Linked DNA regions of Rattus norvegicus. The protein of the gene in region 4 purifies or fractionates together with the protein of the main gene of each other region. This does not show direct contact. Links are inferred from orthologs where the notes say so. Each region holds a gene or a part of one and is shown on either strand. Other genes may lie near its edges. The genes, in order: Crtc2, C1qbp, Brd1, Ywhae, Mark3, Pabir2 and Cdk18.

What was found.
Region 1: the proteins of Ywhae (region 4) and Crtc2 purify together in Homo sapiens (affinity purification with mass spectrometry; 3 studies listed by BioGRID and IntAct, with this or other methods). This does not show direct contact. The link is inferred for Rattus norvegicus from reciprocal best matches to the Homo sapiens genes YWHAE and CRTC2.
Region 2: the proteins of Ywhae (region 4) and C1qbp purify together in Homo sapiens (affinity purification with mass spectrometry; 4 studies listed by BioGRID and IntAct, with this or other methods). This does not show direct contact. The link is inferred for Rattus norvegicus from reciprocal best matches to the Homo sapiens genes YWHAE and C1QBP.
Region 3: the proteins of Ywhae (region 4) and Brd1 purify together in Homo sapiens (affinity purification with mass spectrometry; 3 studies listed by BioGRID and IntAct, with this or other methods). This does not show direct contact. The link is inferred for Rattus norvegicus from reciprocal best matches to the Homo sapiens genes YWHAE and BRD1.
Region 5: the proteins of Ywhae (region 4) and Mark3 purify together in Homo sapiens (affinity purification with mass spectrometry; 9 studies listed by BioGRID and IntAct, with this or other methods). This does not show direct contact. The link is inferred for Rattus norvegicus from reciprocal best matches to the Homo sapiens genes YWHAE and MARK3.
Region 6: the proteins of Ywhae (region 4) and Pabir2 purify together in Homo sapiens (affinity purification with mass spectrometry; 3 studies listed by BioGRID and IntAct, with this or other methods). This does not show direct contact. The link is inferred for Rattus norvegicus from reciprocal best matches to the Homo sapiens genes YWHAE and PABIR2.
Region 7: the proteins of Ywhae (region 4) and Cdk18 purify together in Homo sapiens (affinity purification with mass spectrometry; 3 studies listed by BioGRID and IntAct, with this or other methods). This does not show direct contact. The link is inferred for Rattus norvegicus from reciprocal best matches to the Homo sapiens genes YWHAE and CDK18.

What each region holds. Positions count from the first base shown.
Region 1 is NC_086020.1:178,010,053-178,013,871, reverse strand, and holds part of Crtc2 (CREB-regulated transcription coactivator 2), read right to left. Parts: intron 3,462-3,819; coding exon 3,360-3,461; intron 3,287-3,359; coding exon 3,170-3,286; intron 2,161-3,169; coding exon of another isoform or gene 2,159-2,160; coding exon 2,097-2,158; intron 1,465-2,096; coding exon 1,396-1,464; intron 1,230-1,395; coding exon 1,126-1,229; intron 1,036-1,125; coding exon 1,006-1,035; intron 882-1,005; coding exon of another isoform or gene 852-881; coding exon 787-851; intron 664-786; coding exon 614-663; intron 495-613; coding exon 250-494; intron 1-249. UniProt on the Homo sapiens protein: Transcriptional coactivator for CREB1 which activates transcription through both consensus and variant cAMP response element (CRE) sites.
Region 2 is NC_086028.1:56,200,271-56,204,628, forward strand, and holds the start of C1qbp (complement component 1 Q subcomponent-binding protein, mitochondrial precursor), read right to left. Parts: upstream 2,916-4,358; 5' UTR 2,915-2,915; coding exon 2,689-2,914; intron 2,262-2,688; coding exon 2,111-2,261; intron 429-2,110; coding exon 335-428; intron 1-334.
Region 3 is NC_086025.1:121,681,046-121,684,864, reverse strand, and holds part of Brd1 (bromodomain-containing protein 1), read left to right. Parts: intron 1-3,477; coding exon 3,478-3,609; intron 3,610-3,819. UniProt on the Homo sapiens protein: Scaffold subunit of various histone acetyltransferase (HAT) complexes, such as the MOZ/MORF and HBO1 complexes, that acts as a regulator of hematopoiesis.
Region 4 is NC_086028.1:61,081,522-61,086,051, reverse strand, and holds the start of Ywhae (14-3-3 protein epsilon), read right to left. Parts: upstream 3,119-4,530; 5' UTR 3,003-3,118; coding exon 2,939-3,002; intron 1-2,938. UniProt on the Homo sapiens protein: Adapter protein implicated in the regulation of a large spectrum of both general and specialized signaling pathways. Binds to a large number of partners, usually by recognition of a phosphoserine or phosphothreonine motif.
Region 5 is NC_086024.1:136,535,110-136,538,145, forward strand, and holds the end of Mark3 (MAP/microtubule affinity-regulating kinase 3), read left to right. Parts: intron 1-1,356; coding exon 1,357-1,702; 3' UTR 1,703-2,300; downstream 2,301-3,036. UniProt on the Homo sapiens protein: Serine/threonine-protein kinase. Involved in the specific phosphorylation of microtubule-associated proteins for MAP2 and MAP4. Phosphorylates the microtubule-associated protein MAPT/TAU. Phosphorylates CDC25C on 'Ser-216'.
Region 6 is NC_086039.1:137,910,416-137,914,234, reverse strand, and holds part of Pabir2 (PABIR family member 2), read left to right. Parts: intron 1-2,728; coding exon 2,729-2,873; 3' UTR 2,874-3,648; coding exon of another isoform or gene 3,649-3,718; 3' UTR 3,719-3,819.
Region 7 is NC_086031.1:46,114,437-46,118,904, forward strand, and holds the start of Cdk18 (cyclin-dependent kinase 18), read right to left. Parts: upstream 2,832-4,468; coding exon 2,708-2,831; intron 2,512-2,707; coding exon 2,432-2,511; intron 1,376-2,431; coding exon 1,250-1,375; intron 27-1,249; coding exon 1-26. UniProt on the Homo sapiens protein: May play a role in signal transduction cascades in terminally differentiated cells.

The DNA.
Region 1 (3,819 bases), on a different chromosome or scaffold from region 4:
GTACTCCCTACTCTGTCCCTGACCTTGGATCAGCACTACCCATTTGGGGGTTACTGTCTGTCTTTTTTTCTAGGAAAAGTCACACCTACCCATTCTTGCTTGGTGAGAATTACAATGAGGGTTATGAGGTGCGGAGTCGGTGGGCAGTCACAGGATCCCAGATCAAGTTTCTGTCCCCTTCACCCTTCTAGCCATGTCACATGTCACAGTCTAGCCTGGTCACATGACCAGGACAAGGTAACCACTCACCTGGTACATCATAGCTGGGGCCCAAGCCCAGACCTCCACTGATGCCCAAATGGGTCATAGTGTGAGTCAAATTGGTGGTACTGTTGCCCCCACTCAGGCTGGGATAGACTGTCTCCTCAGGGTCCAGGGGCGTGGGCAGTGGAGGGGGGAAGTGTAGGTTGGTGAGGTCAGGTAGGGAGCCCCCTGTGCTCATGGCAGGTGGGAGGACAGGCACATTAGCAGGCTGGTCAGGAGATGGAAAGATGCTAGGGAAGACAGAAGAAGAAAGACAGGCAAAGAGAAAGTGGTCAGAGAAGAGCAGAAATCAGTCTTTCTTATCTCTTTCCTTCCCTCCATCTCACATCAGCTATATAGTGCTACTTACTTGATTCCAGGGACTTCACAGGATCGAGGTCGAGAGGAAGATGAGGACAGCTGAGAAGAGAAGGAAGAGGGTTAGAAATGAGGACAGATCTCAGGGGGGGACCCTGGAAGGGCTGTCCCAGGGAAAGAGGAGAGCAGAGGGATAGTGGAAGACACCCAGTGGCCCTTACCTACCTTCTTAGCATCCCAAGGTTTCAGCAAATGCTTGTCATCTACCAAGTTCTCCTCAATAGCAGGGACTTGAAAGAGAAAGACTGGTGATGGGAAAGCTGGAGAAGGATCCAGTAAGGCAGGACAAGAAGCAAAGGTAGCCAAGAGGGAATACTGTTCCCTGACCCACTCTGCCCAAGACATTTGGCACTCATTTACAACTGGTCAAGAACACACACATACCTTTAGCATCCATCTCGCCATCCAGAAAACCTGCATGGGGTGCAACAGGGGCGGTTGCAGTGCCTACTTATTTGTCTGTTTTACTAGAAAACCCCACAGTTACTCCCTGGGACCACCTACCTCCTCGCCGGCTGGGCAGGACACTGGGAGGTGTAGGGCCTGGATAAGTGTCTTGGGGGTTAGGGTTCATCACACTTGTGTGAAGAGCAGAGTCAGAGCTTGTCCTGTTGGAGGAGCAGAAATGAGTAGCAGTAATAGTCTTCCAGGTACCAAACACTGCCCAGCAGTGGGGTATTCAAACTGGTCCAGAACTGGGGGGTAGAGTAGATAGAATAGGGCCCCAGAAAGTACAAGGAAGAGATGTGGACTAAAGAAATCAAGGACCGTCACCTGTTAAGTGCAGATGGCAGTCTAAACAACTGCCCCTTCTCAGCTGGGAGGTTGCCCCAGGGCATCATCCTAGGATAGAAATGTTATCAGGAGGAAGAAGGCGCTGGCAATGGACGAGAAAGGCAAGGGGGTAGGAAAAATGTACAGCAGCCAGGGTGGATACACAAAGGCCTTAGTACCCAGGATCCTGCCTCTTTCTGGCTCTTCTGATGCCTTTGATCCATGAGCCTCCCACCCCTGCTCAATCTAAGAACTGGATACAGAAACTCCTCTCTGGCAACACAAGCTGAGTGGAAACACTGAAGCCTAGCAAGTTTCCTGGACACAAATATTGGAGCTGAGATGGGAAAAGGAGGGGCTCAAACACCTGACAGGGTTACAGCATTACACCTGGCATCCACTACTATGAAAAAGGAGCCATTTTCACCTGCCACCCTGCCACTCTCCCCTCCCCCCACTTATACACACCCCAGCTTGGCTACAATTCCATTGGTTCTGCTTGCTGAATTAAGAGGCTTGGCCACTCGTGTCAACATGGCCAAGTCTGGACTCTGACCACCTACCCAGCTGCCCCACCCTCCCAGCTTGGCCTTTACAGGAGGAGGTACTTTTGATACCTTAGCCCAGTACCTAGCCCACCTCAGCCACTCTGGAACATGTCAGAGACTAAGGGGGAGAAATTCTACCTGCTCTCGACTCACCTTCGCCAGCCAGACTCAGGGGGAGGAGATAAGTAGGCAGGGCTATAGGGAGAACTGTCAATGTAAATAGCTGTAGTTAAGGAAAACAGTAGAGAGAACAAATGAGAATAAGAGACAGCATGTAGTAATACAAGTCAGTTACACTGCTGTAATCCCAATATAGTGAGATGCTGTGACTGACACACACACACACACACACACACACACACACACACACACGAACAGAAGGAAAGAAGAAAGAAGAGAAACCAGGGTTATATTTCAGTGAAGGCCACCTAATTTGTTAGGTCCTAGGGCCACAAAAATAAGCAAATAGCAAAACGGAATAAAAAAAGGCATCGTGGTCTACACTTGTGATCCCAAGTGTGTGCCAAGGAGATCACCAAAAGTTTGAACCCTACCTGATTGATCTGCCAAGTTTCAGAAAATCCCAGACTGCAGAATGAAACCATCTCCAAACAAAACCAAAACCAAACAAACAAAAAACAAAAAAACAAACACACCCCTTTGATCTTAGCACTTAGGAAGCAGAGGCAGGAGGTTATCTACCTGACCTACATAGGCCAGCCTGGTCTATATAACAAGCTCCAGGACAACCAGGACTACATAGAGAGATGCTCAGAGGGTTAAATAAATAAGGAAGGGAGGAAGGGAGGAAGGGAGGGAGGGAAGGAGGGAGGGAGGAAGGAAGGAAGGAAAAGAATCAGGCCTAGCTTAGTAGAGTCAGAACAATCTAAGCAAATGCCTGAGAAGGGTTAGGGGGACGAATATGGTAGAGTCTCTAGGAATGAAGATTCACAACAGAATGAGAGAAGGGCCTGAATCTCCTTCCCAGGTAACAGGGAGTCCTACTGCTTTACAATCGAGGGAGCAGAAGTAAGGCCGGCCAGGACCAGCACTGAGGAGAACAGAGCCACGGAAACACCAGCTGTCCATCACAAGAGTCTGTGCTGCGTAAAAGAACTGGAGAAAAATGAACTGAGCAAATAAAGGAGAAAGCTCCTTCCCTCCATGAGTCTCTAAAGAGCCCCTTCCTATCATTCCTCTGCCCTTAAGTCACTCTTGAAGGATATGTGGCGGGGGTATCGGCGGAGTGGGGACACCATTCTGCGAGGGTCTCGTTGTACCCGTTCCACCAATCCATGGTGCCGAGTGCTCCGAGATGAATCCAAAGGTGAATGAAGGGGGCTCTGCCAAAAGGACAGGTGAATCAGCAGGGGAAGTAGCCTGAGAGCCTACACTCCTTGGCTTGTGTCCACTCACCTGGAACTCAGCCAGGCCACAGCCAATCTGGTTAACATTGGGCAGAGAACCACCATAATGGGAGCTCCTTGTATAAGCCAGTCGCAGCTTTTGGGCCTGTAACTGAGATAAAAAAGACAAACGGGTACGTCAAGAAAGGTTTTAAGTACTGTTCCCTTTGGCCATCTCTGCCACCAGAATACACTACTGCTTCCTAAGATATATCAGTACAAAGGCAGTGATGGGGAAAAGCAAGACCTGGTACAAACAACCCACCCAGCCCTTCTGCAGCTTCCTAACCAATGAGCTCCTACTGCCTGAAAAACCATTCTGGGCAAGGCCTGTCTGTCTCTTGGCATCCCCGCTGAGGCAAGTCACTGATGGTGGCCTATTAGGCTCTTCCTGCCTTCCTTTCCAGATGTGTTCAATATTAATTAGAAGATGAGAAGACTGGAGTCGATGACAAAGATTCACTATTGCT
Region 2 (4,358 bases), about 4.9 Mb from region 4:
GTCACATGACTAGTGTTGATTACCCACTTGTCATCTTTCACACTGAAAACACTCCAAACGATAGCTTCTGGATACTAAGTATCCCCACTCCCCAACACTGGCAGGGGTGAGGGCACAGGCCCGTGATAAACCCTAAGCCCTTAGGGGACAACACTCTACAAACATGGTCCATCCACAACTCCAGCTAAAACTCACTCGGAATGACTGCATTACAGGTCTCAGGAGGCTCACCCTTCACCTCACCCTAGCAGGGAGGATTTTAAAAAGAGTGAAAGTGAAACAGTTCTTGCTTTTGGGGACAGAAATCTTGGCTGTCTGCCATGTCACTGCTTACCTCCTGCTCTTCGGCCTTCTGCCCCTGTGAGGGCTCCTCTTCACCATCAAAGGTTGGAGGGATGCTATTGTTAATGTTGAAAGTGACAGTGATCCTAGAAAGGCAGGTAGAGATACACCAAGGTACACATTAACCTAGTGGTAACAGGAGAGCAAGGCCCACTGAAACAATGTCTCCATCCTAGCCACACAGGGAAGTGAAGAGAATTTCATCTGAAGTGTACCTACAAGTTAAATGACTACAGCTGTGGATGAAGCTGCCAGGTTGGTGTCCTGGGGTCTTCCCATGGAAGCTAATGGAGGTGGACAGCCATCTGCCCCGGAAAGCCTCACAGCCACTGCAGAGCAGATTCACTTTGCACAACCACAAACTAGGAACTGAAACACCTAGTGGCTTCTTTCCCTTCTGGGGGGATTCTGGAGCTCAAATAAGTACCCTGCCCATGCTTGGCGGAAGTTCACAGCTGCACCCTGGCCCTTGTGTGACTGTAAGAATTCTTATGTGATGGACAGCACCTGTTCTAAAGTCAGAGACAGTTCCTTTGTCTCAACACCTGGAAAAGAAGTTCCGCTTACACAGATTCAGAGGGCCAACCAACCCAAGAAGAGTGTACTGGGGGCTGCTCCCTGGAGTCCAACTGGGCAATGCCTTGCTGCCACTTTGCCCCCGAAAAAAGAATGGCAAGGTGAACCAAAGGGCATGTACAACCTGCGATAGCCCAGACTAAACCTACTTCTTCCTTCCCTCCCTCCTTCCCTCTCTTATTTTGGTTTTTCAAGACAGGACTTATTTGTGTAGCCTTGGCTGTCTTAGTACTTGCTGGTGGACCAGGCTGGCTTTGAACTTACAGAAATCTACCTGTCTATGCCTCCCAGGGTGATAGAATTAAAGGCGGTGAGCCCCACCGACACTCAGCCTGGCCTTGAACTTTCTAATCTACACACACACACTTACTGCTAAGCTTATAAACCCCCGCACCCCCAATAAAACTTTCTTGTACACTGTGCTCCTGAAGCACTGGGGATGGATCCTGGAGCCTCACACAAGCTAGAGAAGCACTTAAGAGTCCAAGTAGACTTAGCCAAGGAAGACTGTGGGTGAATGGGTAACACGAAACAGCACAGACAAGGGTTTAACGGTTTTAGGGGTGCCAGGTGTGGTGGCGCATGTCTGCAACCTCAGCACACAGGTGTCTGAAGCAGCAGGACCCAGAGTCTGAGCCCAGTCTATGCTACACAGCAGCCACACAGAGACCTTGTCTCAAACCGAATCCCTTGAGGAGAGGAAGAGCTAAGTTTGGCTAAGAACCTTCTCCCTTTGTCTGATGGCCTTTCTACATGGTAACTTCTTCCTGTGACTTAACAGTTACACACGTGCACTTTCAACTATTATAAACACAAGCCAGACGGGAGTTCTAAACAAATGATTTACCAGTACTATTAAACAACAAAACAACAACCCAATGCTTAATCCAGACTGGCACAGCACCCCTCATTAATAACCCAATAACTGCGTTTGCCCCTCCCACAGGCTTCCCTCTACATACTCTGGAGCTGCTTCAGGTCTCCTTAATACAAGCCATAGAAGCTTGTATTCATTCAGTGAATGCACTCCCTGGAACCTAAGAACTTTCCCAAGTTTAATGCTTTCTTAAAGCCATTTTATCAAAGCATTGGGCCTAAGCTCAGGCTCTTCTGGGGATGGTCAGAACAGGATGCTGTAACCAGGAACTTCTGACTTGAGAATCCAGTATACAACCCCTGGGCCAGTACTTACTTTTCTCCGGCAACTTTGCGCAATAATTTAGCCTCCGTGCCGTTCACTTCCAGCTCCCAATCTCCAGACATTTTGGGAAGGGACTTATGCTTCTGGATCTTCTTTTCTTCCTTAATTTCATCAGTCAAAAATTCAACAAAGGCCTTGTCTCCTAAAAGAAAGGCCAAAATGATCAACAGTGAGAAAAGGTAGTTGCTCTAACCGATTGACTCGGACTGCGTGTAATCTATTCTTAAGGCTGTTCTAAGACTGTAGCGTAAATCACGCCTCAAAACGTCCGTTCCTCACTCTATAAAAACACCAGGATATATTTACTGAGCTGAACTGATATTACTTATCATGAGATGGTTATTTCTCATCATGAACTCATTACTATTACTTCCCGTATAAAACAAAAGAATTTCCAACTATCCTCTTCCATGTCCAAAAAGACGTGGACCCAACAACCACACTTTGAAACCACGACCCTACCGACTTTGCTAAGCCACATTTTCAAGACGCGAGAAGGGGAACCTGCGATCATGAGGGCCAGTTCCGAGCTGGATCGCCGCATTCCGACTAGGGTGCGTGAACCTTACCTTCCGTGTGCAGAGCGCCGCAGCCGCACGCGCAGGGAACCGGGGGCTGCAGGAGGCCAGAGCGCCGAGCGGAGCCGGCTCGTACGCTGAGCAAACCGAAGGGCCGGAGGCATGGCCGGGGCGCGGGCTGCAGTAAATGCCGAAGCGGCGGGGCCGGGATGGAGGCTCGGAGGCCCGTGGCGGCGGCACCCAGGGCGCGGGGCACGCAGCGCAGCAGAGGGAGCATCGCGGGGTGGACACGTGCAAAGGGAAGGACGACCGGGCCAAGACACCGTGTGACCTCGCGAGCCGCCGGAAGCCCCGCCCTCGCCCGGGAAGCGCTATCCACGTCGGAGGACTGCAGTACCCGGGCCGGACCGCACCGCGCCCTCTGCTGGGAGCCGCCAGCGCAGCCCGAGAGGCCTTGGCTCAGCTGTATTCTACCCTGGCCATCAAATCTCCCTTGCTGCCCGTTCTCCCCAATTCACCTGCTTTTCTCAACCCAAGCCACACTTTGTTACTTCGTGGAATACGCTCAGGTCTCATCCCAACAAAGATCACTTAGCGGTCTTCTGAAACCGCCTAGTTCTGAAAAGCTCAGACTGACCTGCATGCAGCTGCTGTGGAGTGGGCATCCAGGCCTCACATTAGACCCAGAATCCCAAGAACAGGATGAAGGATTTATGCTGGAAACCTCTGCACCCCCTAACAATTCGTGTACCGGTTTTAATGGACCATCGTTTTTTTTTGGGGGGGGGGGAGCAGGAATAGATGGCTTTCATCATCACATTTAGGTTGAGAATCAGGGATAACAGGCTGGAGACAGGGCTCAGTGGTTAAGAGCACTGTTGCTCTTACAGAGGCCTGGAGTTCTATTGCCAGCATCCACACGCCTTCTCACAACCATCTACCTCCAGTTCCAGGGCAGCAGACACCCTCTTTTGACTTTTACCAACACCATGAACGAACGTAGTGCAGACATGCAGGCAAAACTCTCAAGGACATTAGAAACACACACACACAAAACAAAACCAACAAAATCCAAAACCCAACCCAAGAAACAAAAACAAAATTTAACCAACCGAATTTCACACACACACACACACACACACACACACACACACACACACACACACACACACACCCCAAAAACCCCGCTCATGCTCTCTGGTCCTAGCATCTGGGAGGTAGAGGCAAACAGCCGAGTTTAAGGTCAGCCTGGTTACACAGCATGTTCCAGAACAGCCAGGGTTACATAAAAGACCTCTCAAAACACCAAAAGCAAATGTTGGATACCGAGTCTTACTGAATGAATGGCAATGAAACTACTGTTTAATATTCTAAACAGCATTCTTTAAATAAGGGAAAGGAGGCCCAAAATAAGAGGCCACACAGATCGTATACAAGATTCAGGTTTTTATGGACTTAATAGTCAAAAGTAATTTTTGAGCATTATATACAAGAACTGTTTCTTATGTTTGAGATCAGAGAGATTAGAGTGCAAGTCCAAATCCACTTCTTATTTTTCTACACTACAGCAATCGATATAAAATTGTTTCCTCACAGGTATAGTCTAGCTTATGTGCTCAAGGAATGGCATCTTAGATGCATGGCCACAGTTCCAAACAGGTCCTGGTAGGTAGCTGCAGACAAGGATTGTGTCACAGTAAATATGTTGCTGTGTTTTGGAA
Region 3 (3,819 bases), on a different chromosome or scaffold from region 4:
GGGCCTTCAGCTGTTGGCTTCTTCTCCTCTGCATACATAGGAGCATAGAACAAAGGGCATGGGATGCCAGTGTCCCTGTGGGTAGCTTCCCTAGAGAGGTGGATCTGGGAGGAAGAAGAGGCTACAGGAAGGAAGATAGGAAGGAGGTGATAAGGGAAGGAAACAAGGCTGGCCCCCTGATGGTCATCCCTGTCAAAGGGCAGGCCTTTGCACAGGACATTGAGGCCGTCAGAGAGAGGGAGCACCGAATTGTGAGGATGCAAGCTCTGTGGTGTTCTGGGCTGGGTCATTCTAGAATTACCAGAAGGGAAGTAGAAGGCTTTGTCCATGGCAGAGAGGTCTGCTCTGCTGTGTTGGACCAGGCAGGACATGAAATTGGAAGTTGTAAACTATACCCACATTGTCTTAGTAAGGCTTGATGTAATGGCCCTGAGCCTTGCCTTTGACATCGTGTATGCTCCGTCTCAGCCTGGATCTATAGACTAGAAATACTGAATGTTAGAATTTGACTTACCTTTGACTTTAGCTGTCTCTGCTCAGCCCAGCTTTGGAAAAAGGCTGTGCGATTTCTCTACTGTGACTAACCTTGTGGAGGATGGATGAGGCATAGGGATGGTGGGACAGGATGAGCTGCTATGAGAGGACATCACTGACGTTGGTGTTGTGGGGAGTCTTTCACTGTGGTGGCTAGAAGCTTCCCAGCTGTGCGGTGACTCCGTAGGCCCTACTCTGGTAGGAAAGCAGGCATGTTGCTTGTGCCCTCTGCTGAGGTATAGTAGGAGGTGGGTTGGTGTGGCTCCTTAGATTTGGTCCAACAGTTTGTCAGGTGCAAGCCCCCATTCATCCTGTTTTGGTTTTTTTTTTTTTTTTTTTTTAATTTCCTGTTTTCCTTTCCCTCTAGCTCTGGGCCTCTACTTGTACCCATTTATTCATAGAATTCTGGAAGTCTTGGGTCTGACATGGCTGAGCCTAGCTGCCCTTAGGGTCATGGTTGAAGTGTATGGGAGCCACTGCTGCCGATCTGCTGTGTGCTTCACAGATACGCTGACCAGTTCTCCCAGTACAGGGGCCCTTGGCCTCACTGCTGGACTGGTCCTTGTCACAGGGCTGGGTTTCTGCCGTCCTCCTTTATCCCAGCACTAGATCGTGACCTGTGTTAGGAGTGGAAACACTGAATGCTTGTGCTCTTCTTGGGCGTGAGCTTCCTCTTCTCAGAAGTCTCTCCTGGAAGACTCCCAGCATTGGTTGCTATGTACCAAAGTAGACTGCTTCAGGATCGTACTGGGAAAGCTGGTTCATAGATGGGATGGTTGGTGTAGATTGGTGTACAGGGTCCTGTCTTCATGAGCCTGAGGCATGTTGGAGTACAGACAGTGGCCCAGTTACCCCATGACCTTATAAAGATTAAAACCAGGCCACGAGCAAACCACCGAGTTTTGCCTATCCCTAAATACTCAAGCTCAGATCTATTGGCAATCGGGAGATTTCTTTTGCTTCATGGGGGTTCTCTGTGAGTAACCAAGTCTGTTTCTAAGTAGCAGATAGGAAGTTGTCCAGATGTTAGGGTATTAGTTTCTTTTTTCTTTGTTTATTTTTGAGACCGGGTTGACCTGGAGCTTGCTATATATGCTGGCCTTGAACTCATAGAACTCAGTCTCTGCCTCCTAAGAGTTGAAATTAAAGGTGTACATGGACACACCTGGTGGTGGTTGGTTTCTGAACCTCCCTTTCCTTGTATTTACTTACTTGGCCTATATGAGATGATACTGTCATCAACCCCAACTAAATGCTTAAGAATTGTCGGTAATATCAGGTACAGCGTACATTACTGTGGGTGCTGAAGTATGTGCATTGAGACAGATCATGCCATACCCATTCTGTGCTGTCATTTTCAACCATGAAGAGTGGCTGTCGACAGAGTTTTTGGTCGGTGACACTTTTCCCTGAGATCCTCCATCCTTGACCAGTGTGCTGGTAGCTTGGGTTGCAGAATCTCTGCTGTGGTGTCATTGGGCTGTGAGAGGCAAAACTGTCCAGAGAGAGAAGGGTCTCATGTCTGTGTTCTACAGCTGGCTGTCAGCACTTTGCTCGTGGTTGACAGATGTGGCTATTACTGTCCAGTAGTGCAGAAACTTTTGGGTAGGCTATTCTCCATCCCTTTACCATAGGGACAGGACACTGTGTTACTGCAAGGAGGTCATCCCATGTCTTTAACACAGAATAGAGAGTGGGGATATAGCTTTGGATGATGACTATTGTGTTGGATGAGGACCCGGGTCTTGGACAGGCTCACTATGGGGTGGCAGGAAAGAGTGATATCTGGGTTGGGAGAGCAGAGCTCTGGGGAACTTGGTTTAAATAAGATGCATGGATTACTGAGAGGATGTGGCATGTTGAATTTCTTAGGAAGTGGCTGGAAAACCTGGTCCTTTGTAGATAGGGCTCTGGTCTTGTTTGGTGTCCTTGGTTGCTATCGAGGGACATGTGCTATCCCTGTGGCATTGGCTCTTGTCCCCTGTACATTTGTGAGGTAGTAAGAGTACCCTTTGGACATTTCAGCCTTGAGTGGCTCCATCAGGAGTCTGTCGTCGTCTTCTTTTTTTTTTAAATTTATTCATTTATTATATATAAGTACACTGTAGCTGTCTTCAGATACACCAGAAGAGGGCATTGGATCTCTTTTTTTTTTTTTTTTTTTTTTGGTTCTTTTTTTCGGAGCTGGGGACCGAACCCAGGGCCTTGCGCTTCCTAGGCAAGCGCTCTACCACTGAGCTAAATCCCCAACCCCGGATCTCTTTACAGATGTTGCAAGCCACCATGTGGGGTTGCTGGGAATTGAACTTAGGACCTTTGGAAGAGCAGTCGTTGCTCTTAGCCGCTGAGCCATCTCTCCAGCCCGGGGTTTCTGTCTTCTTAATCCTGCTTAGAACTCTGAGCTTCTCAAGGATTCACATCCCATGTGACCAGGCAGAGCCCCACTGCTTTTCTGCTACTGTCTGTGTCGCTTGACTTCCCAGTGCTGTACTTTTTGCACATTTTGATGGTTAGGGTAGAGAGGGGCTGGTGCAAGATGCTGACCAAGTTAGGAGAGGTGCTATCTGGTGTACTGCTCTGTCACCTGAGAAGGCAGCTGTGACTGGCAACTACAGTGCCCATGCTAGTCTATGGGGTTAGTTAGAAGTGATCCCTACACTTACCTGCCGAGCCCCGAACTGAGCCTGTGTAATATTCCGCTGCCAGTAAGGATTGCTTAGGTTTGTACCTTTTGTACATCTCCTTTCTAATACTCCCTCCATTCCTACCTCCTGGAGTCAAACCAAGACCCCTTGTGCCGTGGTCCCATTAGACCTTCCTGTTCCTTGTCACTGGGTCCCAGGTCCTGTTACCCTTTTAGTCTCACTTGTTGTATGAGCTTGTTAGACCCCTGGCAGGAACTTCTGGCTTTGACTGATGGAAAGTTTCATTTAATTTTCTCAGAGAGAAAATGATGAAGAGATGAAAGCTGCCAAAGAGAAGCTGAAGTACTGGCAGCGGCTACGGCATGACCTAGAGCGTGCCCGCCTGCTGATCGAGCTGCTGCGCAAGCGGGAGAAACTCAAACGGGAGCAGGTGAGTGTGTGGGGCCCTCGGGAGCTGCCACCTTCAGGGCTGGCTCTCTCTAGATGGACATCTTGCTGCTGGCCCCTGTGTACCTGCTGATTCTGTGTGCTGTCCCCTCCCTACAGCATATCCCTACCTTATAGTTGGTCCTGTGGTACCTCTGTGTTCTTTTTGGGTAGCCACTGCCTCAATGTCTTAAAGGAGAATACTTGTCCTTGC
Region 4 (4,530 bases):
CTTTTCTAAGACCATTAAATAATCTATATAAATTGATTTCTATTCCTTATGGGGAAGTAAAAGATACTTCAGGACCAGGTTCCACCCAGCTTGCAAAATACAAGAGAAAGCCATGATGGCAGCAAGAAGGCAGTTAAAAGGCCACCATTTACACAGTACCCAAAACTCAGAGGATTTCCAATGCATTCTTTCACTGCCCTTGGCATTTACTTAGTGATCACTACTACAATCAGTGACTATAATCAAATTGTTACACTAACAAAACTGAGTTACCAGTCAATGCAGGAGTGATCACTTCCTATGAATGCCTTCTCCCTTTCTACTGATTCCCTTTTCTTACACCAAATCACAGGAGTGCTTCCTATTTCCTTCCCTCATCTAGTGTCTGAAAGGGGCCAGTCACCACATGGCTTTTCTACAACACGACACTCAATAGCCAACAAGGCCAGGCTTTGGTCAAAAATCTTCATCATTCAAACCCCAAGTATGGTTTAACTTGTCATTTATTTGGAAATACAATCTTATTTGCAAATCCCTTTTTAAAATGACTTAGAAACGAATCAAAAAGCTTCCCCATACCTCCTTTTTTTGGGGGGTTGGGGGTATCATATTTACATAAAGCCTAAATTACCAGAATGTAATTTCACATTTCCTCCCAAGAACACAAGGGGGGGGGGGGCTCTTCTGGAAGGTGAGAGGTGAAACCTCCACTACAGCCAACTCTCCTGGTTCAAAACACACTACAGATAAGGCTCACCTGGAGCTGCAGTAGTATTCCCCGTCCCACCTCCTCCAGCTCCCAACCGGAGCCTAGTTCAGTACAAACTTAAATCTGCAAGACAGGGGTTGGGGATTTAGCTCAGTGGTAGAGCGCTTGCCTAGGAAGCGCAAGGCCCTGGGTTCGGTCCCCAGCTCCGAAAAAAAAGAACCAAAAAAAAAAAAAAAATCTGCAAGACAAAATTTAGTTCATCATCTTTCCTAAATTGGAGGTTTTGAAGCCTGCTGTTCTACTTTCCAAATGCTGGAACAGTGGTGACTTTGGCAAAGACGTATGACTAGTTCAAAAGTCACCACAGGAGAAACTGGCATTCAAGGAAAAAGGGCCTGACCTAGCATTTGAGAAGCAAATGGTTTAACTTGGAAAAAACATGAGGAACACTTAATTCCAAAACTTGTCTCATTCGACCCTACCACTCCCTAAACATTAAACTCACAGGACCCAGTCTTAGTGTTCATTCCTTTAATCTCGGGGGGGAGGGGGGGAGCCTGGGAGGGGGAGGGTGTCAGGAGAGATGGATCTCTGGGAGTTCAAGACCAGTCTGGTCTACATAGCATGTTTCAGAACAGCCAGAGCTACACAGCAATTAATTAAATCACAGGAACCATGTGTGTGACTTTTCATTTTTAAAGACTAGCTTAACGGCCTATTGCCTAACTCCAGTTATCTAGTTACAAAATTAGAATTTTGTACCTAGGCTACACAAGCACAGTAGATGTCAATGAAATTCTCAAAAATGACTGAATTCAAATTAGCAGGCGCTAAGGATGTAGCTAAGTTGAGAGGAGAGCACTCATCTAGCACATACTAGGGCCTACGTTCCATCACCGGGAGGTGAGGGGGGTGTCAAATGAACAAAGAGTAACTACTGAAATTTGTACATAAAACCATTCACTTAAAATAGATAAAACAGAGCTGTGGTGTAGCACAATATTTGAGCACTTGTCTTGCCTGCATGCAACCCTGGGATCGAGCCTCACTCATGGAACAATGAAATCATAAAACAGAAAGAAAAAGAAAAAAAAACTACAATCTTCTACATTCCTAATTCAAAATCCCCAAGCCCCAACTGAGTGCTCAAAATAGGTAAGGATCCCCAAGCCAAGCAAGAACATGCATTCCAAACTTAGGTTGTCAACCAAACGTGTTACTAAACGTTATTTGAATTAACTATTTCTCAACAGGTCTATGTTTCATAATGCTAAGTGTGAATAGTAAAGTCTTCAATTTTACAAACGGGTAAACTGAGGCACTGGCACTGCAAAGGGCAATCAGTACTAAGGAGTCAAGGCAAGCCTTGGCCTCCTGTATTCTTATCCATCAGAACTCCATGCTTGTGAAGGTTGGGGGTTGGGGGGCCAAACGCAGGAACTTTGGGATATCCGGGGTAAGAACAAACGGAGCATGAGTGAGGTTGTGCACCTCCCCGGAAGAAGGTGAGGCCGAAAACCTCCCCAAACCCTCAAATCCAAGGTGTGTCGGCCAAAGGGAAGAAATCCAATCGCAGCATCTCAGCTTGCCTCCACCCAAGGATAGTCTGCAGTGATTTCCAAACACTCCACCCTCACCAAAGACTACTCTCCACCACCGGCCCAAAGAAGCCGTCCGCTCCGGAGGCTTCTCCTTTGTGAGGCTCCACAGCCGCCGCCCCACACTGGGCCTCCGGGGAAAAGCCACCGCCCCCACCCGCCATATTTCCCTGAAAGGCGCCGGAGCTACAGCTCCTAGATTCCGCCCTCTCCCGAGTGACCCGTGCTATTTCTCACACCACCCCACCCAATTGTCCTCCACACCCCGCCGCAATCCCGAAACCTCCCGTGGGGATTGCACGGCGGGAGACGGCACTCGCCATCTCCTCCCCCTCCCCCGCCCGGGGACTCGCCCTCCCCCTCCAGCCGCCATTTTACAACCAACTCCTCCACCCTACACCCCGGCCTGCTGGCTGGCGAGCGTCTGCAACCTAAGGACACCGGAGGGGTCAAATTCCTAGGCCCGGAGACTCCCACCGCTTCGGGAGCCCGCAGGCCATTTCCTGCTTCCCGACCCACGTCCCAAGCCAGGCTCGGAGACGATGCCGCCATTTTGTCTCCGGTTCCCGGCCTCTGTGGGCGGCGGCGGAGGGTCCGAGACTTCCAGCCCCCCGACACCCCCACAACTCACCGTCGTATCGCTCGGCCTGCTCTGCCAGCTTCGCCTGGTACACCAGATCCTCCCGATCATCCATAGCGGCAGCGGCTCCGGCAGGGTCTGCACGACGGATGGAAGCGGATAGCGTCTCCGACTCTCTCAGCTTCTCGCTCCGCGTCCGAGCAGTAAAAATGGCGGCGCCTCAATCCGGGACTTCCGCCTGCGCACGCGGACAACTGCTCAGCTCTATGGCAACCGCTCCCTGGCAACTGGCGCGGGGGGGCGGGTCCGGGAGTTCGGCGCCAGAAAAGGCTGGAACCTGCACGACGGACGCCCCTCCTCCGTCAGCTCAGCGGGCGACTCTGCGGCGAGGCGGGAACTGCGACTGCGACAGAGAGCGGCCCCTGGAGCGGCTGGAGGCAGGTCGGCTTAGACTGCGGGAGGGGAGTAAACCAGAAGCCTGTGCTAGGCAACCGCGGGCTGGCCTGTGGGCGACAGAGCAAGAGGCTTTATGAATTCTTGCTACGGCAGGCCTTCCTCATTGAGATCAACCTGCCCTGTGCACTCTAGCACATTTTTCTCATCCGTGTGCCCTTTTCAGGTCCTTTGAACCCCTAGGTAAAGAATTGAGAAATGAAGAAGGGAGAGCTCGAGTTTTCACGCATCACCATCTCTCTTGCTCACACACTGTAAGCACTTTCTTCTCCCCCTCCAGCTGTATTTTTATCTCTTTGGCCTATCATAGATAGGACTTTTGTTAAAAAGCCTCTGTTTTTGACTCATGTGCGTTGGTGCGTGCGTTTAATCCCAACACTAAGGAGGTAGAGGCAGGAGGATCGAGTTTGGATCCAGCCTCATCTACAAAGCAAATTCCAGGTCAGCCTGGGCTACATTGTAAAAAACCCCCATCTCAAAAATAAACAAACCACACAGAAAGGAAAGAGAAAGAAAAAGTGATCAATCTAAACTAATTAAGGGAAACCCTCACTAGAGGGAAAAAAGACAAGAAAGTGGCTTGCCTCATTCGGAGTGCAAGGTGCACCTGAGTAAGGGCAAATTGATGTGGATGAGTTAGAAATAAAGAATTCTCGCCGGGGCTGGGGATTTAGCTCAGTGGTAGAGCGCTTACCTAGGAAGCGCAAGGCCCTGGGTTCGGTCCCCAGCTCCGAAAAAAAAAAGAAAAAAAAAAAAAAAAAAAAAAGAAATAAAGAATTCTCAATGGGAATTGCTTCATTTGCAATGGCCATGCCTATTCTGCTTCCCAATGGATTTTCAACATCTTATACTCAATATCTGCTTGCTGCTGAGCCATGCAAGAAAAGGGCCTCAAAGTGTGAAATAGAAAGGTTGGGACCAAATTACCGTAGGCCTGAGGTCACAAGCTGAGAGGCTTGCATCTTAGCCTATGAACCGACAGGAATTGTCTTGTTCAAGTGCGGAGACTGACCCCAGAGCCTCGAGCATGAGCTTTACCACTGAGTTATAGTCCTAGCCGGGTAAGCCGTGTTTTGATGATTCTGAGTGGAAGATGACATCATCATAATTATACTTAAGAAAAGTATTACATATTTGCTGAAGTAGTGATTCACGCCTATAATTCCAGCACTGTGGAACCAGAAACAGAG
Region 5 (3,036 bases), on a different chromosome or scaffold from region 4:
TGTGGTGATACCTTTCCCAGTGAAAGTCTTCCTTGATGCCTCCTGCTTGACTACTGTCTCTGAGGCACTGAGCACTGTGTAGGCTTCCCTTTAAGGTGGAGGTGAGGAGGTATTCTCCTCCCAGGCCTGTCCCAGCACAAAAGCAGACGCTGCCTTTCCAAATATGTATTGCCCCATCCACCACAGGAAGGTGGTGATGGCACCTTCCTGCCTCCTGGTATAGAGCAAGACAAGGCTTGCAGTGCAGGTGCTCTGTAAAGGCCAGCGCTTTTCAGCACGTCACTTTGATCTAGTCGGATGGGTCTTAAGTGCATTCTGTACTTTCCTACCTCTGCATTTGGTGGCAGTATCTCTGTTCAGAACAAAAACTCATGAGTCATGGTGCATACACCTAGAATTTGTACACTTGGGAAGCAGAGCAGGAGGCCCAGTGGGTCAGGGCAAGCGTGAGCTCCATGAGATGCTTGTCAAAGAAAGAAAACAACAACCCTGAAACTGTTTGTAGTTAAGGTGGATTTTATTATTTTGTGTTGCTTTCTACCTCCTCACGTAAGGTTTCCTGATCCCAAAAATGCTTGTCTCTGTAGCCTGTGGAGTATCTAACGTAGCAATTTAGCTATGCTTTGAGCCTCTCACCTTGTGCAGACCACTCATTTCAGTTCTCCACAGACGGGTGAGCTGTAGCAGTTCATTTCCCTCTGTCTCATTAAAATGACATCATCTAAGTTGTGGGTCTTTGTAGTGCTTGGTTTTGCCCATCTTGAGATGGGCTTCACTATTGTTCAGATCACCTCAAGCTCATGGCTTCTTTCTCGCTTCTGAGCAGCTGATAGCACAGGAACATGGCCTGGGTGTTTTCAAGAATGAAATTAGAATTGTAACAAAGGAGAGAAACAGTAAAAAGGTAGATGGTGATGAGGGAGAATGGATGGCTTTCCTGTGCACTCTGATTCTGACTGAGGGACAGCAACACTAAGCTGGGAACACCGAGTCAACCTCTGAGCACTGGTGTCTGTGGCGCTCATGGCAAGCACAGCTATTAGTAATAGAGAAGCTGTGTGTGATAGAGCAGGAGGTTGCTGGTCTGCACCCGCCCAAGTACAGGAGTGGACTCTGTTTTGCCTGATTTCACAGATTCTCAGGACAGATGGCTCCTGGACGTTTTCCAGCCAGGTAGAATTTTGCGTGCATTCTCTATGTTCAGGGTTGGAGATACAGGTGTGTGTGTGCCTCTGGTAAATGTGCATGGGATCAGTTGTGTGAGCTGAAGAAGTTGATGAGTAGCTAAAGTTTAAGAAAAAAAAAAAAGGTTCTTTTTCTAGTGCAATTAAAAATCACCCTGCCTGTGCATTTCAGTCGCAATGTATCTTCGGAACAAAAGGATGAGAACAGAGAGGCCAAACCTCGGTCCCTGCGCTTCACCTGGAGCATGAAAACCACTAGTTCCATGGATCCCAGTGACATGATGCGGGAGATCCGCAAAGTGCTGGACGCCAATACCTGCGACTATGAGCAGAGGGAGCGCTTCCTGCTCTTCTGTGTCCATGGCGACGGGCACGCTGAGAGCCTGGTGCAGTGGGAGATGGAAGTCTGTAAGCTGCCAAGACTGTCTCTGAATGGGGTCCGGTTTAAGCGGATATCAGGGACATCCATCGCTTTCAAAAACATTGCTTCCAAAATTGCCAACGAGCTAAAGCTGTAACCCAGTAATTATGGTGTAAATTAAGTAGCAAGCAAAGGTGTTTCCAGAGCACTGATGGAAATGTGTAGAGTAATATTTAGGCAATAACGTGCATCTTCTAAATCATGACATTAAAGTCTGAGGACGAGAGCGGGCCTGGGAGCGAAGGCTGGCCTTCCCTGCGAATGCACTACATTAAAGTCTGTGACCCCGTGCCTCTGTCTTGTTTCCATTGCCCTGGGGGTCAGAGTGTGACACCGTCTGCACCACGAGACCCTGTGTGTGCTGTGAGTGGATGGCTGTGTGGGAGCCGTCTCCTCGAACTGGCAGCCAGCATTACTAGTACCTCTGCGGGAGATCATTTGGTGCTAAAACATTACAATTGCCAAGAAGGAAAATACTGAATTACTGCTAAGAATTAACCTTAAGACTAGTTGATAATTAATACAGGTTTACAGTTCATGCCTGTGGTTTTGTGTTTGTTTCGTGATTTTTTTTTTTTTTGCTTTTTTTTTTTTTTAGTGCAAAAGGTTTAAATTTATAGTTGTGAACATTGCTTGTGTGTGTTTTTCTAAGTAGATTCACAAGATAATTAAAAATTCACTTTTTCTCAGTAAAACCTTGCACTGTCTCCTAATGCTCTACTGAAGCCTTAGCTCAGGCAGTCCTGCAGCTCACTGCTGCTCCTCCCACTGGGCACAGACGTCCCCCACACCCCCAGCTTCGGGTTTGAAGCACCCTTTCTCCCAGCCCTCCTGGTCCCTGGGAGGGGGTGGTGCAAAGCCTCGAGCAAACGCCGGGCCCTGGCCTCACTGAGTTGGGTTTTTTTCTGTGTGGTACCTGATAGTCCTCACCCTCCCTGTGATTCACACATAAATCACACCTACAGCTTCTCCCCAACACCTACATGGGTAGATATAGGGGTGGGGAAGTGAACTTGACACAAAGAAGTTGTCACCTTGATTGAGAGTGCTGTTTTAGGTGGTTGTGGCCTGGGGCATGCAATCTGGACTAGTGCTTAAGTCACGGCTGTTTGTTGTCCTGTCTGCTGTGGTCAAGACAACGCAGATGAGGACCTCGGAACTCAGATTGCAGCAGTCAGTCAACAGCAAGAGTCAAAACTTAGTGCTAGAAAGATTGCTGCGTGGTTAGGAGCATGTACCGCATCTGCCAACGGCTGGTTTTGATTTTCAGCATCCACATATGGTGGTTCACAATCACCTTCAACTCTAGGTCCAGAGGATCCAGCACTTCTGACTTTCATGGGCACTTGTATCACATGCACTTTATAACACACACGCACACCACATTTACATGTATTTAAAAGAAGTGAGGGTCCTAGGATAATTAGGGCT
Region 6 (3,819 bases), on a different chromosome or scaffold from region 4:
ATAAGATGTGGTGGTGAGCCATCCAATTTACCTTCACACAGTTGCACAAGCCCTGCTCTACATGGACCTAAGTAATGACCTGAGGTGGGCGATGTGCCTGCAGTCTCAGCTTCTATGACCATATATTGTTCTGCCAGGTTAACTAGAACAGAAGCCCGGTCTCAGTTCAGTAGCAATATCTACTTTAATCTTTACTATGTTTTGAAGCTAAATTATCGTGGAGACAAAGTGTAGCTATGCCACTTTTCCAACAGTGAGAAAAATAGACACTTTCAGGTGTAGTGGTGAAGAAGACATTTCTAAATGTTCAGGGTTTTTTTTTTCTAGTTGGTAACGTCTCTGTCAGTATTTTTTCTTGTAAGTAATCAACAATGTTAAGAAAACCATTTCACTGCATAGTCTTATTTTGTTTTGGAATGAATACAGGAGTCACCTAAGCTACCAGGTCTTGGTACATAAAATCTTCTAATCCTAGGCTTGTTGTCATTCTGCTGTGTGCAATAAGGAATTCTTTCTCTATCTTCAGATTAACTGGTGGCCAAATTTTAATCTAAGTCTTTTTCTTCCTGCCAAATGGCATAGAGCATGCCCTTGTGCTGCTTGGCCAATATGTGCCTTAGGAAAGTCAATTCATTTTAATATTAGTCTAGGCAGAAAGCTGCAGGGGAAAATCCACATATGTTCCAAAGGCAAATAGAAAGGTCCTTTTGATTTTCCAGTGTCTTGGATTATCTGTGTGACTTTTTTCACTTGTTGAATAATTCATATTTTTGGACCATTTGGCCATGTAGTTTAGCAAATATCAGTGCCAACTTAGTTTTCCAGACTTCTTCCTTAAAAGTGGTATTATTAATGATGCATTTGACAGCCATGCACATAGTGTAGGGGCAATGTGGAGTAGACTATTTCCATTTTTAAATTTTAGTCTTCCAAAACCTATTTGTAATCTGTCTCCACCTAAAAACAACCCCCAGGCAACAGAAAGAGATGGCAGAGGGGACTGTGCTGTAGCTCCACTCATAACATGCTCGCCCAGCATGTGTGAGGGCCTAGGCCCCATGCTTAGCACTGCAGGTAAAATCATGAAAGAAAGAGATGACATTCACAAAGCATGAGTAGAAAGGCAGGAGAGGAAAGGTCGTCTTTCAGAAGGACAGTGTAGGCCAGAGACTTACAAGTGTACTGTAAGCTTCTTTACAATGGAAAGAAATCAACTTGGAAACTTACACAAATATCAAATTATCAAATCAAAACATTTCAATCCCCCCTATAAGAACAAAATGGGCTTTGGCCAAGGAGTTAGTGGCAGACTAGAACCCATATTGCCTTGAGTCATAATTCCTTCTCTGATTCTATGTTTTTCTTCCATTTCAAAAAATAAAAAAGTCTGTGTAAACTTAAACTGCCGGACTACTCCTTCAGCTTGGCTCGCACTATGTTCTCTTGACTCTATCCTGCCTCTGTACTTGCTTGCTTTTAATTCCAGAACTATCCTTGCTTCTTCCTAACCCTTCCCGACTTAATGCCTACTCACCTTTCACATGAGAACACAGATCTCACCTTGGAGAATCCTTTCACTGTTACTCCACATTAGATCAGATCAGATTCTTATACTCCCTGAATCTTTTTTCTGTGTATTACTCATGTCACAAAGTGTAATTATTTTCATATGAACTTGAATAGTTAAATCTCTGTCTCCTCTACTATCCTGTAAATCTACCTAACTTCTCCACTTGGTGGGCACTTAGTAAATATTAGAATAAGTGAGTGAGTAAATTCAAGGCAAATGCAGAACATAGAGCTCTGAGAATCGAAGCAAGAAAGGCAGCTCGATGTCAGGCAGAGGCTTTCATTTCCATGAAAAGTATAAAGAAACCAATTTTTTAAGGTGGGACAAGGTTGATTGTGGGAACAGTGAGCCTCTGGGCTGGGTGGGAAGCATATTCCTGGGATGGCTTATGGAGGCCCTTGGTGTCCGCATCAGTTTCAGAGAGAAGAGGAGACCAGAGGCCAGCTGTTCAGATTAAAGGGATGTGATGGGGACTGTGAGAACAGAGCATTTCAGAAGCTTAGCTGGAGAGGAGCTGAGAGCTGGAAGAAAAGGAGGCTTTTATGGGGAGCAGGGGGATCTTTGGGTCTGAAAGGAAACAGGAGAACAGATTCATAAAATGAGAACAGCAAAGGGGGAAATCATTCAAAATATGTGCCTTGAAGCCTCTTGGGTGTGGGCAAGCAAAATGGTCAGTTTGGGGGCAGTTGAAAGACTTTCCTCAACAAATAGCAGTGCTATGTCTGAAGGCACACTCAGCAAGTTTGAGAACAGATAGCTTAGTAACTATTAAGAACAGCAGTTTTTCTTGCGCTAGGGCTCTTGAAAGGTAAGAAGATAAATATGAAGAGAGAAATGGTTTAGACAGAGGTCAGGACCCCCTTCATAATAAACATGGCACGTCCAGAGGAACACTTATCATATGTCAGTCAGGTGCCTACAGAAGGAAAATCAAATAATACAGGATGGCACGGCACGTCTCACTTTGGGTTTCTGTGGCTTTATGAATTTCACAGCTCTCTCAACATAGTGCAGTATGCATTTCGGCGCTGTGGCCTTTATGCTTCTTCTTAGTTACCAATGCTGTACTGATGCGTGTGTCCTTGAAATCATGTCATTGCATGTTATGTTGACCCTGATACATGCATTCGCTTATAATTCTTTTTGCTTTGTCCTCAGTTCAGATATTTTGGATGGCAGTAGTGTCAGCAGTGGCTTGTCCTCAGACTCACTGGCTACAGGCAGCGCTCCCGCAGAGTCTCCAGTAGCATGCTCCAATCCATGCTCTTCGTTCATCTTGATGGATGATCTCTCACCCAAGTGACTTACCCATTTCTGATTGAGTGTTTTAACTGTTTCCCACATAAAACATTCAGTGAGGAATGCGGAGAACTTTGATCCACAGTGGGGATTAAAGTTTGGCAGATTGCAACCATTCCGATGATGCGCCTATTTCTGGGCATCTCTCCTCTAAAGTTCAATTTTGCAAGCAGTCACCTTACTAACATCTGTTTGGGCTGACCTCATTTTGCCTTTGATGACTAAAACTCAAATACACATTTTTGATTGCTTGGATGACTTTTTTCCCTAGTGCCTCAAAGAGCACCTACTTTCAAACATTTAAGGGGAACACTAATGCATATTTTCTATAATTGTTCATTTCCCTCACAGTGGCAAAACAGAGTTGATCAGAAATTCTCTTGCTTGAGAGATTGATAAAAATTCTGTTGACTACATACTTTCCCATCTCTTTATTTCATGGTAATATTCAAATTGTTTTTGATTGCTATCAAATTTTCATTTCTTCTGCATCAGCTTTAAAGGACATTGTTTTGTTTCCCTTGCCTGTTTGAGCTGCTTCCTTGCCATTTCTCACCATGGGGAAGAAACCCATAGTCGCTTCCATCACCACCCATATTGCTTCTTTGCTATTGGAATGTATGCAGTGGAGAGTGATTGTAGAGTGGAGAATGTGACTAGACTCACAGGATGCCTGCATTAGTCACCCCAGGTTCTTAGGACATTGCTACCACAGTTGTTATTTCTCTCCCCAAACCTGGTGCCTTAAGGAATATGTAAAATATTGTTGATATTTCTAGGTGGTGTTATCAAGGAGAAGAAATTCCTGCCTTGACCAGATGTGTGGAGCATCTACAAATGAACGAATAGTTATTTACACAAAGCACTGTACAAAAGCAAGCGTCCATGAAGCTGTCAGTGTCTTGGGTAGTATTATGAGGCCTTAGGTGCCTTGGGGTACGTTGCCGTCA
Region 7 (4,468 bases), on a different chromosome or scaffold from region 4:
TCCAGTTTCCCGAAGCCGATATCTGACTGGGAAGCAGACCCGGGAGACTGTGAGATTCAAAGCCCCAGCAGACCTTCCTAGTCAATGTTCCCTCCCAGTTCCCAGGAGAGAAGGAAGAGAGATGCCCCCATCCTATAGAGAAGAACCAAGGCTAATAGTTCAAAGAAGGACAGCTTCAAAACCTTCTTTCTCTCCTCCCTTCATCCCTGTGAAAGCTGGAGGCCCTCTGGAAATAGGGACTCCTTCTTCCGTGAGTCAGAGATAGGTACACTGAGATGCCGGGCCTGCCCATTGCCACCTCGCTGCCTGCCAGCTCAGGTTACCAGCTCCTCGGGAGAGGGCCCGTCATTCTCTACTATGTGGGAGTCCACCTCAGAGCCCAGTTCCCCAGCCATCAGTTCATCCAGCTCTGGTCAGGATGAGTCACAAAAAGATGTGAAACCCACTCACCAGAGAGGCTTCCTAGAAGCTCCTAACAGGCAGCTGGGACTGAAAACCTGTGGTGGGCGGGCCGATGGGTCTTTTGTTTGTTTCTATGTGGTTGGCTTTTTGCTTGTTGTTTCATTTTATTTGGGAGGTCTTTCATTTTTTATTAAGCATTACATAACATATGTGTGCTATATAACACATTGTGTGGCCTTCTAGCAGGAATAGATGACCATAGTTGAGGGTTTTCCCCGCTTTGGGGAGGTGTGGGCTTTTTTTCTCATTGGCCAGGAAAATGTTTCCTTAATCAATGTTCTCCGTGGGGCTGGACACACAGTACTGACTGCCTATCTCGCTCCATCAAAGTGAGTCCAGTTGCTCTTTGGACTTTGTTCCCTTTAGTGAACTTGTGGATGTACACAGTGGCTTCTCCGGAGATGCTCACATGCTCAAACCACATCTCTGCATAGCAAAACACAACTTGAACCCTATTCAGATACTCCTGCTTTGGTTTTGTTTGTTTTGTTTGTTTCCGATAGAACCTTACAGTGTGCCCTAGGCTGACCTGGAACTATGTAGCCCAGTTAAGTGGTTTATTGGTCTTAAGTGGGGGAAATTCTGGGGCTCCCAGGGGACTCAGGGACTGTAGGCTCCATGCCCAGGTGTGTCCTTGACTTAGAGAGACTACTTATCAAAATCCTCAGGGGCCAGCAGGTGGCGCCAGAGGCATAGGAAGCTTTCTGGAAACCACTACAGGCTTCAGCTGGGGTGAAGAAGGCCAGGAGTGTCTTCCCACACTGGTGTCTCACACTCTTGGACTCACCAGGGAGGCACGGCGGGACATTCGGGTGAGTGGTTTGGGCAGCCCTGGGTTCTCCAGCTGTAGCTTCTGCAGGAATTCCTGGGGCAGGCGGATATCCATGGGCAGAGAGAGCCTCTTGTTGAGGTCCTGAGGTGGCAGATGGGATAGGAACATCATGTTGGCCCCAGGAGGCCCTTGCCTCTCATTCTGGATCATCTGTCCCTATAGGGAAGGCCAAGCCACAGGCTATGACCTCAGGCTCACAACCACCTGAAGGGTGAACATTTGTGGCCCTGCAAGGATTGCTGTGTGACCTTTAGACGGTTCCTTCTCCTCTCTGGGCCACAGTAGAACATATATCTCACCCTGTCACAGATAATGTAATTTCATAAGCACATTTTTTCCTATACTTGGCATGGGTATGTGGATTATAAAAACATGGGGTTTGGGCCGGAGAGATGGCTCAGTGGTTAAGAGCACTGACTGCTCTTCCAGAGGTCCTGAGTTCAACTCCCAGCAACCACATGGTGGCTCACAACCACCTGTAATGGGGTCTGATGACCTCTTCTGGTGTATGTGACAGTGTAACTCATATACATAGAATAAAATAAATTAAAAAAAAAACCATGGGGTTTGCTACCCCATTAGAACAATACCAACCAACCAGAGCTCCCAGGGACTAAACCACCATCCAAAGAGTACACATGGAGGGCTGGGGATTTAGCTCAGTGGTAGAGCGCTTACCTAGGAAGCGCAAGGCCCTGGGTTCGGTCCCCAGCTCCGAAAAAAAGAACCAAAAAAAAAAAAAAAGAGTACACATGGACAGACCCATGGCTCCAGCTGCATGTAGCAGAGGGTGGCCTTGTTGGGCACCAATGGAAGGAGAAGCCCTTGGTCCTGTTAAGGCCGGACCCCCAGTGTAGGGGAGGGGGAATACCCTCATAGAAGAAGGGGGAGGGGGAGGGGACAGGGGGTTTATGGATGGGAAACCAGGAAAGGGGATAACATTTGAAATGTAAATAAAAGATATCCGAAGAATAAAAAATAAAAAGTCTATTGTCTAACCAAGAATGCTCTAGCACTTGGCATATATCCTCGCCAAATAATCCACACTTATCCACAATAAGCTGCACCCACCCTGCCATGTATATATACCGCTGTGATGTATGCCTGACCCGTGCAGCCTGGAAGGGGCACCCTCACCTCCATGGAGAATCGGCGCTGGTTCTGCCGTTGCTGATACTGCACGCCCGGAGACAGCTGCCCAGGTTCGTCCCTGCCGTCTGTGGGCGAGAACACGCTTGGTTACAGCTCACGGGACTGAGTGGCATGTCTGAGTGGGACAAGTGTCAGTCCCCACCTCCCACTCCACAGTCTGTCGCCAGCCCAGAGCACACCACCCCTTCTCCTTAATGTCAGCTAGTCAGCAGCAGTCACAGGGAGTCTGGGTGGGAAAGAGCTAGGTGGCCTGACCCTCACCCTCATTCCTCTGAGTGTGGAGCTGGTTGAACTGCTCGGTGAACTCGGTCAATGACTCCTCAATGGTCTCTGGGCGGGGCACTGACAGGGAAAGCCTTCGTTTGAAGTTCTTCATCTTGTTCATGATCAGCAGGGGTCCAAGGTGGGTCCTGGGACAGAGAGGAGAGAACAAGGCAATGTGGACAGGGGACTCGTGGGAGCCAGGTTCTGCACGTGGCATGCTTAGGTTCCCGTGACCAGAGCCACAGCTCCATGATTGCAGGATCTAACCCTGTTCCCTTCTCCAGTGACCCTCAGCTATCTTCTGACCATGAATATTCCCTCCCCTGGCATCACGGCATCAATAGCTATAGCTACAGGTTTGCAAGAGGCCACTCCAGACATTCAGCCTCCAGGGGGTCTAGAGATCTCTAGGGCAGGATGTCAGAACTGCACGGCCCTCGGGCCATCTGCTCTTTCTGAAGGAGCCTAACGGACTGGCAGCTGCCGGCCACCTGTCAGCAGGTTTCAGACTCCGTGGTCTCTTTCACTGATACCAGAATGTCCCCTCTCTGGCTCATCCTGGGTCCTTAGGAAGGAGATCGAAGGAGAGTAAATGCATGGCCCAGTTCCACCTGTGCTGCAGATGCAGATGCGGTGTGCAAGTCAGGGACAGAGTGGGAAACTCAGCCAGATGGGGAAAGGGGACGCCTATGTTGCTGGACCGTCCATCACCTCAGTCCTCTGAGCAAGCCTGGGTTCTCTCGCCTGAGGACACTGGGGCAGGAGCTGGCCCTCTGAACTCTGCTTTCTACAGGTGGGCACTTCATTCTATTCTCTCTCTGTCTCTCTCTCAGATTTATTTATGAATAGGAATACGCTGTTGCTGCCCTCACACACACCAAAAGAGGGCATCAGACCCCATTACAGATGGTTGGGAGCCACCATGTGGTGTTAGGAATTGAACTCAGGACCTCTGGAAGAGCAGTCAGTGTCCTTAACCACTGAGCCACCTCTCTAGCCCCCTACCCCCCTCTCTCTCTTTCTCCCTCCCTCTCCCCTTCCTCTATCTCTACTCTGAGATAGTCTCACTGTGAATCTCTGCCTGGCTTGGAACTCATATAGACCAGGCAGGCTTAGAACTCACAGAGATCCACTTCCCTCAGCCTCCTGAATGCTGGGATTAAAGGCATGGGCCATCATGCTTTTCCTATAGGCCTACCTTCTACCAGCTATAGGCTATCTTTTACAGCCATATCTCCATCCTGGGGCCCCCAATGCCTTTACTTACAGTGGGGCTGCAGGAACCAGAGGCTATATAACTCTTGACCTCTCCATCCTGGCCAGGAAGGCATCAGGAAGGCAACAGACATCCCTGTTTTGGGAGGGGCCATCTGCACTCCTCCCTGGGCCTACTTCTAACCCACTTCTGGAGGATGCTCAGGCCTGTGGCTGGCTAGCACCTAGTTGCCAAGGCAACCAGGCCCCTCCAGAATCCTCCTGGTTTAAAGGATTATGGGTCAGTAACATGTTTGCTTTGCTTAACGATCAGATATATCCTCCTTCCTCTGTGAGCCTTGAAAAGGTCCACTCCCCTGCACTCCACGTTCCCGGCTGTCCCTACCATAACTGAGCTGGGCCCCCAGGCTGTCCTGACCCAGGCCTGTGCCTTTTCAAGCAGAAGGCTCTGTCTACACGGCCAGCTGAGCCCTCCTCTGCTGAGCAGCTTGCAGTCGGAGTCAGTTCAGCACACCGCCTGTGGGGCGTCTTGTGCGCAGCACG